Linked DNA regions of Diceros bicornis minor. The protein of the gene in region 2 purifies or fractionates together with the protein of the main gene of each other region. This does not show direct contact. Links are inferred from orthologs where the notes say so. Each region holds a gene or a part of one and is shown on either strand. Other genes may lie near its edges.

The links. Proteins that work in one complex are often made in the same cells at the same time.
Region 1: the proteins of IFT57 (region 2) and IFT27 purify together in Homo sapiens (co-immunoprecipitation; 3 studies listed by BioGRID and IntAct, with this or other methods). This does not show direct contact. The link is inferred for Diceros bicornis minor from reciprocal best matches to the Homo sapiens genes IFT57 and IFT27.

Annotation. Positions count from the first base shown.
Region 1 is NC_080764.1:12,873,136-12,881,072, reverse strand, and holds the start of IFT27 (intraflagellar transport protein 27 homolog), read right to left. Parts: upstream 3,034-7,937; 5' UTR 2,806-3,033; coding exon 2,772-2,805; intron 1-2,771. UniProt on the Homo sapiens protein: Small GTPase-like component of the intraflagellar transport (IFT) complex B that promotes the exit of the BBSome complex from cilia via its interaction with ARL6. Not involved in entry of the BBSome complex into cilium. Prevents aggregation of GTP-free ARL6.
Region 2 is NC_080754.1:11,471,321-11,478,408, reverse strand, and holds the start of IFT57 (intraflagellar transport protein 57 homolog), read left to right. Parts: upstream 1-4,038; 5' UTR 4,039-4,118; coding exon 4,119-4,330; intron 4,331-6,824; coding exon 6,825-6,987; intron 6,988-7,088. UniProt on the Homo sapiens protein: Required for the formation of cilia. Plays an indirect role in sonic hedgehog signaling, cilia being required for all activity of the hedgehog pathway.

The DNA.
Region 1 (7,937 bases), on a different chromosome or scaffold from region 2:
ATTCCTTCCAGGCACACCCCCCTCCACTGTCACCCCTAACCCTCCCCAACTCTCTCTCCGCCCCTCCCTCACCCCAAATATGGGCTCCACACTCCTAATCTCTTCATCTCTGAAAATCCCTCGAAGACAACCTCCTTCCAGGTCTCTCCGGTCCAAGGCTAAATCCTGCTCATTTTCTAACAGGCAAAGCTCAGAGGGTCCTTCCTGCCTGGCCTCTGAAGGTCATCTCCCCCTCCTGTCTTTAGCCGTGTGGGTAACATGGCTCACTGCTGGCAGCACGAGCCTTGATGGCAGAGCAGGCCTCCAGGGAGGCACTGTGAGCATCCCCACGCACATCCACAGGCAGCGTATCACAGTGCTTAGGGCACAGACTCCGGCTCCCTCACTTACTCGCTGTGTGACCTTGGGTCAGCAACCTCTCTGGGCCTCAGCTGCCACATCTGCAAAATGGGGGTAACAATAGCACCTATCTCATAGCACTGTTTTGAGGATTTAAGAGTTAACATGTACAGTGCCTGACATATAGTTAGTAATATTTAAGTGATTTTTAAACAAATATAGATAAATGTCAAGTGTTGTTTTCTCTCTTCATTTGAACCAGAACAATCAGCAGCTGTGCCTTGAGGTATTTCTCTGGTACCTGGTACACAAAGGACATTCGATTTGTGTTTGAATTGAATTATAAGTTATGATGCACATCTCAGCGCTTCCTTGAGTGTCGGGGCTGGCCTGATTTCTCCTTGTAGTCCCACTGCACCTTGCCTCGTGACTCACACACAGTAGGTCCTCAATAAACATCTGTTGAATGAATAAGCACTCGAAGTAAATATCAGGTCCCTCAGTGACTAGTTATGTGAGAGAAAAAACAGATTGATTAGGTCTGTGCGGGGAAAGAAAAAAATAAAACCAGTGAAGAGAGGTGTGTGGTGGAGGTGGTATGGAGAAGGCGAATTTGGTGGCTGGTGGTGCTGAAGTCTCCTGGCCCCTGCAAACTTCTAAGAGGACATACCCTTGAGGCCTTGAAAGGAGGCTGCAGATTGAGGGTGAGGCTGGAGTTCAGCAATCACTTAGGCAGCTACTGAAATTAGGTGAAACAGTACCTGGGAGAGTGGGTGTAAAGAAGGGCAAAGAGTCTAGAATCGAGGCTTGAGCACGGTATCGCTTGGGGCTGAGAAAAAAGCCCTGGAAATCAGATCCAGCTGTGTGACCCAGGGCAAGTGTCTTAACCTCTCTGGGCCTCAGCTGCCCTATCTGTAAATGAGAATGACAATAATGCCGACCCCACAGGATTGTTGTGAGGATTCAGTGAGACAACCTGTGGTGAGGGTCTAGCACAGTACTGACACACGAAAGGTACTCAGTCAGCTAGCCCCATGACAGAAGCTGAATTAAAAAAGAAATAAGAAAAAGAACAGTTAGAGAGAGAGAAGCCCATTTAAAAAAATCTAACTTCAGAAAATAAAAACGTTCCCACCTTATCCCTGAGGAAACTGAGGCTCAGAGAAGTGCTCTGTGCAACATGAGACAGCCGATCAGAGGAAGAGCCAGATGATTTCTGTGACACAATACTGCCTCCCCTGGCGCTCTGGAAACCAGAGACCTCTCTTGAGAACCATTAATTCCTTTTGCTCCAGTATGATTTGAGCTACTGCTGTCAGTCATCTTTCTGTGTGACCCTTTTATGTCCAACTTAGAAAAGTCATTAAAAATATCATCTATTTTCAGTCTGAAAGAGCGGAATCAAAAAAAAGGAATCCTTCTCCGCTAGATAATGTCTCACCGTTTCATTTCTGAGCTGGTCAGGGAACCCCAGAGAGGCCTACGTTTCAATGGTAACACAAAAATTTTCAAATTGGGCAGATCTGGGGGTTGAAATCCTATGACCTTCCTTCACTAGGGGGTGACCTTGGGCAAGACTCTTCAGCTCTCAGCACATCAGTAAGATCAGAACAACACAGCACGGACCCCAGCGGGCTACCGTGACAGGATTAAATGAAATACATGTGCCTGGCATACAGTTAGGACTCACATACATAGGACTCACCTAGTAGGGGACATATGTGTTCTGTGGCCCCAGGTCTCTAATCCAGGCAAATGTTTTTCTAAAGGTGCAGACTGATACAAACAGAGCACCACAAATGTGCACGCCACAAATTCATTCATTCTACAAATATTTATTGAGTTCCTATTATGTCCCAGATACTGTTCTGGGTGCTAGGAATGTATCAGTCGGCAAAGATTCCTGCCTTTGGAGGACTCAACGTTCATGCCCTTCTGAGCGTGGGCAGCACAGTAACTTTGGGTCTTAAAGACAACACACATGGGCCTTTTGCAAACTCCAGTCAAGCGTACATCACCGTCTCCTATCCCTGCTATCAGAGGGGATGGGGTCAGGAAAATCATCCCACAGGTAAAGACGACCACAGTCACTGAAGCCTAACTGCGGGACAGCCCGTGGGTTCCGGTGAAGCACTTATGGTGTGCTTAGCTTGATTTTTTAACGCGTCGACTCCTCCTGAGTACAGCTCAGACTGGAGAAGGTGGTCTCAGAGTAGACAAGGAGCGGGAAACTCGGCCGGAGCTACCACCGTGCTCTGGAAGAGAGTTCTTCCACGCCTAGAGGAATTGACTCTATCAGTAACGGCAGTAACTCGCCTTTGGGCAAGAGAAAGGGAAAGCGGGCAGACAATTTACGTGAACCAAAGCTCTCGATAACTTAGGAAGTCGTTGGACTCCAGAGACTGGATTCAACCGCAAGTTTTCAGACTCACCTGCCAGGATGCACTTGGCTGCCAGCTTCACCATGGTAACCAACCACCTCCAAGGACCAGAGAGGGGAAGAGCGGCGGCTGGAGGAGTTGGCAGGCCTGCCTGGGAAGGGAAGTGAGGAGGGCTGACGCTCAAGGGGCTGTGGACGCGGTGGGGACGGGGACGACGGGGCCTGGACCCGCAGGGCTGCGCGGGGGGCGGATAAGGGGTGCTAGGGTTGGGACGGGGGCGCAGGGCGTGCCAGATGCGGCCCAGCTCCAGGCCTCAGAAGGCAGCCGGGAAAGGCGCGAGCGAGGCGGCGCGGCTCCCGCTCCCGGTCCAACCCCTCAGCCCGGCCCCCAGCAGCGGGGACCTGGAAGAGCAACCCCGCAGCCCCTCAGCCCCCAGCACCGCGCCAGCCGCGCTACCGGGGCAACCATCGCCCGCCTGCCCCGCCTCCTCCTTCTCCTCGCTGACCCTCGATTGGCTGCCGCCAAGAGCTCCCGCCCCGAAGGTTCTCGGAGGCCAGTGGGAGGAGGGGGCGGGGATAACAGCCCTCCCTTGTGAGGCAATTCGTAGTGGCATCTGCTCTTCAAGCTCAACCCTCTCGGCGAATGGTTGCAAGAGGTGTCAACCATTTACACCTCCCGCACCCGCCCCGCAGGAAAGTTCAGGGAAAAGCAGCTCCAACCTCGTGCAGCTAGAGCGGTGATAAAAGAAGCTTTCTGATTGGCCAGAGGCTGGCTTGGCCCATCTTCGGGAGGAATGGGGATTCGCCGCACCCCCCTGCCCTTCTGGAAATGAGTTCTCCCACGAGGCCCGTCGGGCGCGCTCAAGTCTGCAGCGGCGCCTGCGCAGTAGAGGAGGCCGCAGTTGCCCGAACCGAGCTCTGAGCGGGTTTGGCGTCGCGGAGGTTCGTGTCGCTCCCCCAGATTCCGGGTGCCCGGGAGCGCGGCTATGAGGTGCATCAAGAAATGCAGTCCTTGCCCCGCATCCCGCAGGGAAATCTCATTTTTCAAGCCCAGGGATGTTATGCGTTTTAAAGTCTAAAGTATGAAAGTGTTTCAAGTGATGTCTGTGAGCAGAAGGGAGAACAAGTGAACTTTGAGGAGGGCATTTGAAGTCATACTTTCCTCTGAGCCCGTTTCCTCTCTTGTAAGATGGAGCACATAGCACATACCACATATTGAATGAAAGCAAGCATCCAGGAACATTGCCCGGACACCGGAGGCTTTGCCGATGTCTGTTGACTTTCCGGAGAGGCCCCTCTTGCTCTGTGGCCAGAAAACCCAGACTGAAATCACTGCCATCTTCCTGACCCGGGCGAGGCCTCACCCCCGAGCCTCTTTCCTCATCTTTAAAGGTGGGCTAGTAGAACCCACCTCATGGGTTGTCCTGAGGACTAAAAGAGAAAGTACGTAAGTGCCTGGGACATGGTGGGTGCTCAACAGTGAGTGTTGAATGAGAAGAAATTTATCTGGACAGGTCTGGTTTATCATCGCCATCATGGACCGGCCCGATGCCCCGCTGTTCTCGCTCCTGCTGCGCCCCTGGGATGGCCAATGCTGAAAGGGAGGAGTAGCCCCCCTGGAAGATGCCTGCGCCCGGGATTCGCCATCACATACCTTTCAGTTACCTGGACCTTCTCTCAGCTGCTCTGTGTCTTAGGGTGGCTGCCAGCCTTGCGCAGGGCCCTGAACACACACACACTCCACGAACTGCTATGAAAGTTTCAGCCCTGAATTTGGAGTAAAACAATGCAAGTTGTCTGAAATTTTCTTCCCTTGGGAGTCACTCCTAGTGTTATGGTTAAGACCTGTCTCCGCTTCATTCCTCATACCTACTTTTCTTCTTAGAGATGTCATGCGAGTCTGTCTCAGACACCCCAGGCCTCGGTGAGTCAGAAAGCCTCTGCCTGGTCTCCGTGCTTCCCCCTCCAGGCTGTCCTGTTCCCCATGACCCCATTAATCCCTTAAAGGAGCCCTTGAGTGAGTCAGCCTTCCAAGGCAGCTCCGTGGAGCTGAGACACTGAGATCCATCTGGAGGTGGCCTCTGGAGCCTCAGTTTCCTCATCTGCATGGGGGGTCATAATGGCACCTCCCACACAGGGCTCTTCTCTGCACCACATCCACTCTCTCCCTGTCATTGCTGCTGCTCTGTATGTTTGTAGTCAGCACCATCGTAAGAGCATTTTGGATCTTTCCAGAGAGGCGGTAAACCCTGTATAGTGAATTCTACCCCCCTCCCTGCACCATCTCAAGGGCCTTCTGTACATTCTTGATGACTGAATGACAGCTGCATGGCCCAGAGTCACTGGGTTTAAGGCGGTCAGAGTGTTTAGGAGCCATGAGGGCCCTTGAGAAATTCTAGTCTAAGTCCCTCCTGAGCAGCTATAACAGCTAAAGCTGGTGTATGTTGAGCACATACTGAGTGCCAGCCTCATTCTAAGTGCTTTAAAGGATTAATTTAATATTCATGTTCACATTTGATATTCACACTAACCCCCATGAGGCCTGTATCATCCCCATTCGACAAATGGGAAAACTGAGGCCCAAATGAGGTTAAGTCAAATGCCCAAGGTCACAAGGCTAGTGAATGGCAGAACTGGGGACTGAACACAGGCAGACCATTGTCCCCCTGGCAGAACAGGGGCCTCTCCTGCCTCTAACTCTTCTCACCCTTTCTCCCATCCTAGACAGTAAGTGTGTACTGAGTTCCTTGCAGTTGCAGCTCTCGCTGATTGAGCATTGTATGCCAGGCACGTGCTAAACAAATCACATCCACTCTCTTGTTTGATGCAACGACTCTGGAAGTGGAAACTATCATTGCTTCAACTTAACAGGCGAGGAAATTGAGGTCCATAGAAAGCCCAAGGTCATGTGACAAGGCAGCCAGAACCAGAGCCAGCTGCAGGGCTCCTGCTCTCGGGACCGATGTTCTTCCATTGCCTGGTGTGGTCTTGCTGGTTTCACTAATAAGCTTTTCTTGAGTGCCTTCCCTAGGCCAGGCACTGTGCTGGGGCCGTGAAGTGGAGGTGACAGAGTCCCAGGCAGCTCTGGCAGATCATGGCCACGTGGGAACGCCAGCCCAGTGTTGCAGGTCCCTGCATTTTCTGGAAGAGTCGGGAATCTGAATTTTTGTCTGAAATCCCCTGATTCTCAAATTTTGGCAATGTACTTAAATTTAAAACACTGCAGCCGCAGTAGAACACCTCAGTTGACTGGTTCAACCCGGGGGCTGCCCGTTTGCAATGTTTAGTTGAGAAAGAAAGACAAATGTGGGATCAAATCCATATGACATGAGTGGATACAGGACCCAGAGGGGCACCCCCTAACCCTGGATCGGTGGAGTGGAGTTGGGAAGGATATTCTGGAAGGAGAGCCTTGAAGAATGGGTAGGAATTGACGAGGCGGACACAGGAGGAAGGACATCCTGGGTGGAACAGCATGTGCAAAGGCGTGGAGCTGTGGGAGTGCATCCACCTTGGAGAATGTCAGGTGACACTCTTTGCTCAGGTGTGAATGGGAGACTGATAAGACTAGGTGTGACCCGAGCATCTGCTTGAAGCCAAACATACAGCAGAAAGGCAAAAGAGAGGCAAGGCCCGGCAGAGAATGTTCTTTGAAGAATTCGTTCAACAGATATTTTATTGAGTACTTACTAAGCACCATGGACAGAACCATCATCGTCGCTGTTCTCAGGGAGCATCCAGCCCAGTGGGGAGGTGGATAATCAAGCAATGATTATCTGTGACTGCTTGTGGTAAGTGTTGAGTAGCAAAGGACTTGTTGCATTAAAGAAAAATATCCTACACTGTGGTCCCTGGGCCAGAGGCATCAGCATCACGCACTGACTTGTTAGAAGTGCCCAACTGAGCACCGGGGGTGGGACCCACAATCTGTGTTTTCATGAGCCATTCTGGTGATTCTGATGCAAGCTCTTGTTTGAGAATGACTGCTCTTAAGTCATGCCAGGACCCACCTTTATTCACTTCCTCTGGTTGTTTTACTGTTTCTCGAACTCCCCAAGACCCTTCCTACCTCAGGGCCTTTGCACTTACTGTTCTCAACATGGCAGCATGACTCTTTCCCTCTTGACCTTCAGATCTTCGGTCAAATGTCACCTCCGTGGAGAAGCCCTCCCAAGCACCCCATTTAAAGAATTGCCCCCAATCTGTCAGTCTCAATCTTCTTGCCTTACTGTACTTCATGGCACTCAGTACTACCCAATATTATATTCTATATTTATTTGTTTGTTTGTGTAGTGTCTGTCTCCCTCCTCTAGAAGGTAAACTTCATGAGAGCAGGGATTGGTCTCTTGTCCTCCCAGTGTCTGGGACAGTGTCCAGCATGGCAAGATCTTCAGCAAATATTTTTGAATGAATGAATGAATCTCATAGGGTTTACCCTTCTGGTCATTCATTCATTCAACAAGCAGCAATCTGGAGCATCCATTCTTGTGCAGGTAACCGACTTATTTCTGGAGGGAGTGCCATGGCCATTCAGATGGGGGCATCCTGATGCCTGGGGCCTCCACACCGCCACCCCCCCAGCTCCACACCTGTAGATCCTACAGACCCTACAGCTCCGTAGGCTCCATGGAGGAGGAGGGGTTAACAGCGCTCCTCCCCACAGCCGGGGTCTGGGCTGTTTGGGCTGATCAGGCAGCGAGGGCTTTGGGGGAGAAGGAGGCGGAGGGGCAGCTGCTGACATGTTGTTCCCAGGGACTATTCAATCATCCTGGGGTTGACTGCTTCCCGACAGCCCTGACAGGCAGCATGCGTGGGAGCTGCGGCGCGGTGCCAGGGACAGCCACAATATTCCACGCTCAGCGCCGGAGCTGACCGTGCCCAGTGCCGGGCACAGTCCCTCCGCCATCGCTCTGGGGTGTCTCCTCTGCCGGGGCCGCTCCTCAGAGCCCCCCTGCTTGTAGAGTGTATTAGCAGGATCGTTGGATCCAAAACAATCCCTCTGGATAAATAAGAGGCTTTAGGGGAAATTAGTGGGGAGAGGCCTCTTGAGAGTTATTCGGCATGAATCCTCAAGAAGAATATCCTTCATACATTAGAGCGGATTTGCTCTAATGCCTTCATGTCAGGGGGCAATGCAAAAGAGAGGGCTGCGGGATTTGTGGGAATTTTGTGTGTTTAGATTAGGGTTTCTCCACCTTGGCACTATTGACATTTCGGA
Region 2 (7,088 bases):
TAGAGTTTAATGATCTCTCCATAAAGATAATGCTATACTTATTCCTGGTGCTATATATGGTTTGTTTTGAGGTTTTCATTTTTCCAGTAACTTTTCTTCAGTTTGGCTTTCATATATGGCAAACTTGTTGAGCTGTCTTAATAGCTTTTCTGTAGATTCTCTTGAATTTCTTACTTAATCATATCAAATGCAATAGTTTCTTCTTCTGCAATACTCTTTTCTTTGTCTTAGTGTGCTAACTCTGATCTCTAGTATAGTTTTGTTCTTATTGTCACATATTTAATATTTTCAGAAACTGGCAAAACTCCATATCCATGGACTAAATCAGAGATTTCCTCCAATTCTTCAAATATCTCTTTGCAGATATCTCCCAAATTTCTCTCTGCTGCCTGCCCTCCTTGAGTTCCAGTCCTACATTTGCCACAGTCTCAAGTCAGATGCCTCCCACCACTTCCAAACCAGTGAGTCTAACACTGAACTTACCTGCCCTCAAACCATCTCCCATCTCATCTCCCTTATTAATGATAAACTTCAGTCATCTTTTAGCCCTCCCTCTCTCTCACTCAATTTCTCTCTATTCTACCTTTGTGAGATATCTCTGCTTTTATTTTATTTATTTTTATTGAGGTAAAACTGGTTTATAACATTATATAAATTTCAGGCATCTATATAGTTTTGGAGAGTAGATGTCTTCACTTTGTCCTTGGCTTTAAAAGGCATTGCCTCTAATGCTTCACATTTAAGTATGACTTTTCTGTCTAGATTTTTGGCCGACAATTTTTATTAGGTTAAGGAAGTTTCATTCAATCAGTGATTTTCTAAGTTTTTAACATCCCAAATGGGTGGTACTAAGCCATTTATAATGCAAAGAAGCTTTGTTCTTTAAGCCTGTCCAGTCTTCTTGGAGGACTTGTTTTTTATATTTGGAGATGCTTCTGGAAAGCCTTCTTCCATCTTTGAACCTGCCTCCTTTTCACCCCTAGCCTTGCTGAACACCTTTCAGGGAAATCCATTTAACTTAAATCAGCTTTGACTGGGATGCTGTTCAGTTTTCAGAGATTAGCCCATTTACAGAAAGACCTTAAGGGCCTCACAAATTACCTCCAATCATTTCACAGATAGCTTACAAGAGATACAAGTCCGAGTCAGAAGCCCAGCTATTAACGGTGGTCCACACAGTAGAGCCAGGGATAAATCTCTCTTAAGAGTCTTTAAAGAAAGTATGAACATGCCTCAACATTCCATTCTCTTCAAGCTCTACCTCACTCCTTAGTCAACGAATGAGCTAGTCCTGCAAAAAAACTGACACAAATGTACCCCAAAGCTTCCAAGTGGCCATGACAGCTGGAAGAGGATTTGACTGTGCATTCTTACACCTGTGAAGGACACTACTTCTATAGGGGAAAAGTCCTCTTCAAGTGTTATCAACTATTGCAGTAAACAAAGATTCAGCAAAAATAATCCCTGGGCCTTATGAAAATGAAATGACATTTCAGTGCACTTTCCCATCTTTTTTTCTGTGGGAAAACATGCATTGTTGAACAGCTGGCTTTTCCTTTGTTTCTTTCATTCTTTCTGTGCCACAGTTAATAGGGGATGCTTTATAGTTTAGTCTTTTTTTCTTCTTCACAACACTTAAGAGGAAAAATAATTCTTCATATTGCTTTCAAGCCAGGCTGCATCAGCATTGTACCTGGGAAGGAAATGGCTAGGTTCTGGGAGAGGCGTTTTTTTTTCCCTAGTCAAAATATACACATTGTTGGAGGGTTTCCAGTCAGCCAAAAAACATTTGACTATTTCATCCTGAGTGCTATATAACTTTCCGAAAATGTTAGAACATCTTATGCAGGCAGCATGCCTTGAGAAGCCTTTATCTCCCTGGGTGTAACCAACTTAACAATAAAGTTTGACACCTTTTGGGGAGTCATTTAAAAAGCCACAGGTTGCTTGTTGATTAACCAAGCACCCCAAAGCATGTATCTGAGTTCTTTTTTTGTAATCCTAAAAAGCTATACATCTATCTTGTACTCTGAGAGTTATACAGATGTACCACACATCCCTCACCCACACACGTGATGGTGGTGGTGGGGATATATGGGAGATAAACACTGCTCTAAAGAGGCAAAGACGACAACCAATTTGGCAGTGGGGTAGAGTCAAATCCAGTTTTCCCACGCATCCTTATTAAAAGCAGCTGGTTAATGACAAACAATGTAGGCAAACAATGTTATTGATTTAAAAAGCAATTTTCAGTGGCCTTCCCCTTTAGGTTACTTTCGACATAAATCAGTTATTTTACGTATTTCCTTTCTTTGGTAAACAGAAAAAAGCATTTGCCTTTCTGATCCTTCACTTTGATACTTTTATTAGTATCAGGAACCAGTTAGGTCCAGACTGATATTAAAATGAAAAGTGATCTTCCGCCCATTTTTCTAACGAAAACAAAAAGATTACAGATAAATTTCAAACTTCGGTTATGTCAAAAAATGTAACTCTTCTATATTCTCTAGTAGCAAATAGAAGAGATCAGGGATCCCTCAACATTCACATTATAAACACAAACACATGTTCAACCTCTTGCCATGCATTTTCTTCTCCCAGGAAACCTCCAGCATCACCACTGTTCCACCACACGCCCAGCTGCGTGAGGGATACGTTGCAGAGAAAGCGAAGAAAAGACCCGGAGACAGCGAACGAGACATATGGGTTTAGTGGGGAGTTACTTACAGGAAAGGTCCAGTGCCGGCCGCCTGGGGGGGAAATGTGCACCCGCTCCCCCACCCTGAGAGAAGCTTGCTTAAGGAGACAGAGGAACAAAGGCTGCGTGCTTGCCAAGGGGGACTGTCCCTGTATGATCTGCATTCCAAGCCCCAGAGCACCCCGCCCTGGAGGGCCTCCGTGTTCCTTCAGACTGAGGGTCTCTGTGCTAACACTTCCAGGAAAAAACAGGTGGGGTGGCCAAGCCCAGGACTGTTAGCGTCATGAGTGCTGGCGCCTAGCCCAGCCAAGGAGCCTCAAGGACACAGGGTTTAAAGGGCACATAGGCTAGTGTCCCTACAACCACTTACCTCGTTTTATATGTAGCTGTTGGGAACAGTGCTTTATACACAAGCCTTTTTTGAGAACTGTAAAGCTGTGGTCACTTCTGTCCCCTTTCTTGCATTTTCTAGGTCAGCAGCTACAGGGGACAGTAGTAACACTGTCCTTATCACACTTAGAGCTATAAGGAAATTCCTTTCAAGATTATCTCCTCTATTTTGTTGATTTTAACAAGACACCCCAAAACTTTATACTGCATGTATTGGGCTTAAAACAGATTAAGCATCGGGATGTGTTCAGCATCAGGATCCTGTTTCTGAAGTGGAACAAAGCCTTCCCGATGCCTCGTTTTTGCTCATCCTCTGCCTTTCTTCCCCCGCCCCCAACCGACAAGCCCTCTCCCAGCGCTGGAGTAACAGCGGGCATTACAATACTTCAAGCCGAACAAGATACTGTTAAATCAAACACAGCATTCCCTACTGACAGCCTACGTTCAAGGAAAAAAAGCCTCTCATTGGAAAGTTCCTGAGGGAAAGGGAAACCTACGATTTCGACTATCTTTGCAACTGTGAAAACTTGCAGTTTTGAGAAGAGAGAGAGGTATGAGTGGGCTAGCACAGCCATCGACACCGCGCGTCTCCCTCTCCCCCTCATCTTTCTAACTGCGACCAGCTGCCTCAGCTGCCCGCTCAGCCGCCCGGGGTAACCCCACGCCCCGGCCGCCTCACGCCGGGGAGGGGCCCGGGGCCCAGCCCAGCGGAAACGCCCGCCGCCCCTCCCCCGCCCAGCAGCCGAGGCCGACGCGGCGCGCCGCCGCCTCCCGGCCACCTCCTCCTCCTCGCAGGCAGGGGAAGGGGCGGGGCCCGACGTGACGTCATGCAGGAAGCCCGCCCTGGTTGGAAGGAATTTAGAAGAGACGGGGGCGGGGAGGAGGCGGAGTCTAGTTTCCTTGGTGACGGGTTGCCCGGCGGTCGCCTGGTAACCGGTGGCGGCGGTCCGGGCTGCTGGGGCGCGGGCGGCGGAGGCCGCGGAGGTCTGAGGGCCGCGGCCCAGGCCGGGCTCTTTCTGTCTGTTGTGCGATGGCGGCCGCCGCGGCGGTGGTCCCGCCGTCGGGTTTGGAGGATGGGGTGTCCCGGTCCCGCGGCGAAGGGGCGGGGGAGGTGGTCGTGGAGCGGGGCCCCGGCGCGGCCTACCACATGTTCGTGGTGATGGAGGACCTGGTGGAGAAGCTGAAGCTGCTCCGCTATGAGGAGGAGCTCCTCCGGAAGAGCAACCTGAAGCCCCCGTCCAGGTGGGTGCCCTCGTCCCCCCGCGCCTGGGTGGCGGCCGGGCGCTGGGGACATGCCCTGCTCCGGCCTCTGGGGAACGCCAGCGGGTTAGCAAGCGCTTGCCTCCGCCTTCCTAGCCAGGAAAGGGCACTGCACCCCAAACTGGGCGACGGAGGGCCGTGGAGCTCACGGAGTTTAGACTTGGTATGTTGTAGGGAGTGAACAAGTTCTGGAACGGAGGAAAGGGCTGGAAGACAGCTTACCTAGTCTTTAAAGCACACACGCACCTCTGCGAACACACACTGTGTTTGTCCTGATTATAAAAGTACCTATTGTAGAAAACTCGGAAAAACACAAGAAAATGTGTAGAAAAATACTAAAATCACCCATAATCTCATCCCCGGAGGTAATGCCACTATCTTTTAGATTATCTCTAGTTTTCGTTTTCTCCTGAGAGGACTTGTCGTGGAGTGGCAACCCTGGGTACCTAGGACCTCCCTGAGCGCTTTACATACAGTTAGTAAACTTGTTGACGCTTTGCTATGCTTTGCAAGACTTCTGCCTTTGCAGTAACAATACTCTCAGAAACTCATTGGAAAAGACAAATGAAGGGACAAATATTGAAATTGTTTCTTTATCCTAGAACCTGAAGTTCTGCCCTTGTTCTGGTGGGGAAAAGTCCCTCATATCCTGAAGGCAGTGCCATTAATTGCTGAGAGTAAGAGACTGCTAGCATTTTCTCCTCCAATCAATGTAGTGTAGCAATAGCCAGATAAGTTTTATAGCTTTTCCTTCACATTAATACTTAACATTTATTTTATTGTGTAAGAGACTATTTAGATTAGGAAATCTATAGTACTCTCTCTTAATGGCTCAAATAATTTCCCATGACACCTTTGATCTCATTTCTTGCTCTCTTCCAGTAACTTGAATTGTAAGATATATAGGCTTCATGTAAACTGTCCACATGGCTAAGTCAGTCCATAATAGGAGAAAAGTTGGAAGAAAAAGTAGTGTTGTTTGATCCCTGATAGAAATTATAGGATTGGGAGTTTTTACTTAAATGAATTAATCTGGATAATGTGAACAACCAACATTTTCTGTTAATAAAAATGCATTTTTTTCCCAAGTATATTTTTCAAACTAAAAGAAAATGTCCTTAAGGGTCTATTGATACACCTCTGTACTATTTCCTCAGGAGTTCTGCAAGATGTTCGCCAACGGTTCTCCAAGTTTGGTCACCGCACCAACAGCATCAGCATCACCTGGGAACTTGTTAGAAATGCAATCCCACAGACCCTTTCCCAGGTCTACTGTATCAGAAATTCTAAGGCTGGAAGTCTGTGTTTTAACAAGCCTTCCAGGTGAATCTGATGCATGCTAAGGTTTAAGAACTACAGTCCTAGCTCTACAGTATCTTTCAGTATCCATGCCTCTGTCCTGGAGTTGTTATCAGCCAGTAAGGAAAAGATGAGTTGTTAGCGGGGGGTCCTTTGAAAGGGTTGTGAGCATATGTCTGGAAGGACTTCCTGGCCTTTTTTTCTTCCCAGCTTTCTGTTATCTTTCAAATATTTACACTTATCCTGCAGGAAAAAGTTTGAGAAACATGAAGGAGTAGACTGCTGATTCTTACGAAAAATACTTGTAACAACTATAAATATATTATAAACAATAGTTATAGCTACACATAAAAAGGCAAAATAAGATCTTTGACCAAACTTACTTGAGTGTTGTTGCTATCAAGTTTTATTCCTAACATGTTTAGGTATAAATCATAGTGATCCTCATAGGCCTGTTTTTAGTAGGCTAGGGGATTTAACAAAAGTCAACAAATGTTTGTTAGACTGGGGATGGTGATACTCAGTGGTTCTTAATCCTGGCTGTACCTTAGAACCATCTAGGAAGCTTTTGAAATGTACCCATAGTGGGGCTTCACTCCCAGAAGTTCTGATTTAATCCATGAGGGAAGAAGCAATGTTTGCCCCAGTAGCAATAGTTTTACGAGCTCCTCGGATGATTCAAATATGCAGCTAGTTGAGAACAACTGTATATTATAGGTTAGAAACAGTAAGTAAATACTCTAATGACATTGTAAAAGTGTAAAAATGTGTGATGAATAATCATTTCAGGTCTTTTTTTAAACTCTGAGACTCTCTTAATTCCAAATTACCATTTTCAGGAGGTAATCTCATTAATTATTCCTGACATGTAAATGATTTTGGCAAAAGTTCTACATGCTCTGTTTTTTTACATGCCCTGCATTTTCCGGGTGTAAGGTCTTTGACCTAATATTTTGTGTATAGTAGTAATTGCCCTAATCCTGTTGATTAAGAACTTTGAGTACTGTGGATTACTAGAAATTTAAAAGAGTGAATTATCAGTGTCTTGATTTTAAGGCCATTTGGGGAAAAAAAAGTCCTTTGGCGGTTTTGGACTTAGGTTTTTTAATTACTATAGGCTTATTTGCAGTATTTCATATTCCTTCATATTCTTCCCTTCCCCCTTGTTTTGAAATAGACACTATTTTGCATTGCCTACCAACCCTGGTGAACAGTTCTACATGTTTTGCACTCTTGCTGCTTGGCTGATTAACAAAGCAGGACGTCCCTTTGAGCAGCCTCAAGAGTATGATGACCCTAATGCAACAATATCTAATGTATTATCTGAGCTTCGATCATTTGTAAGTGTAAAGAGCTGTCTTCTTTCTGCATGTTCTCAAGTTATGAATTTTAATATTGGTAATTCAACAACATAAATTCTAGCCTTTTAGATAAATCCACT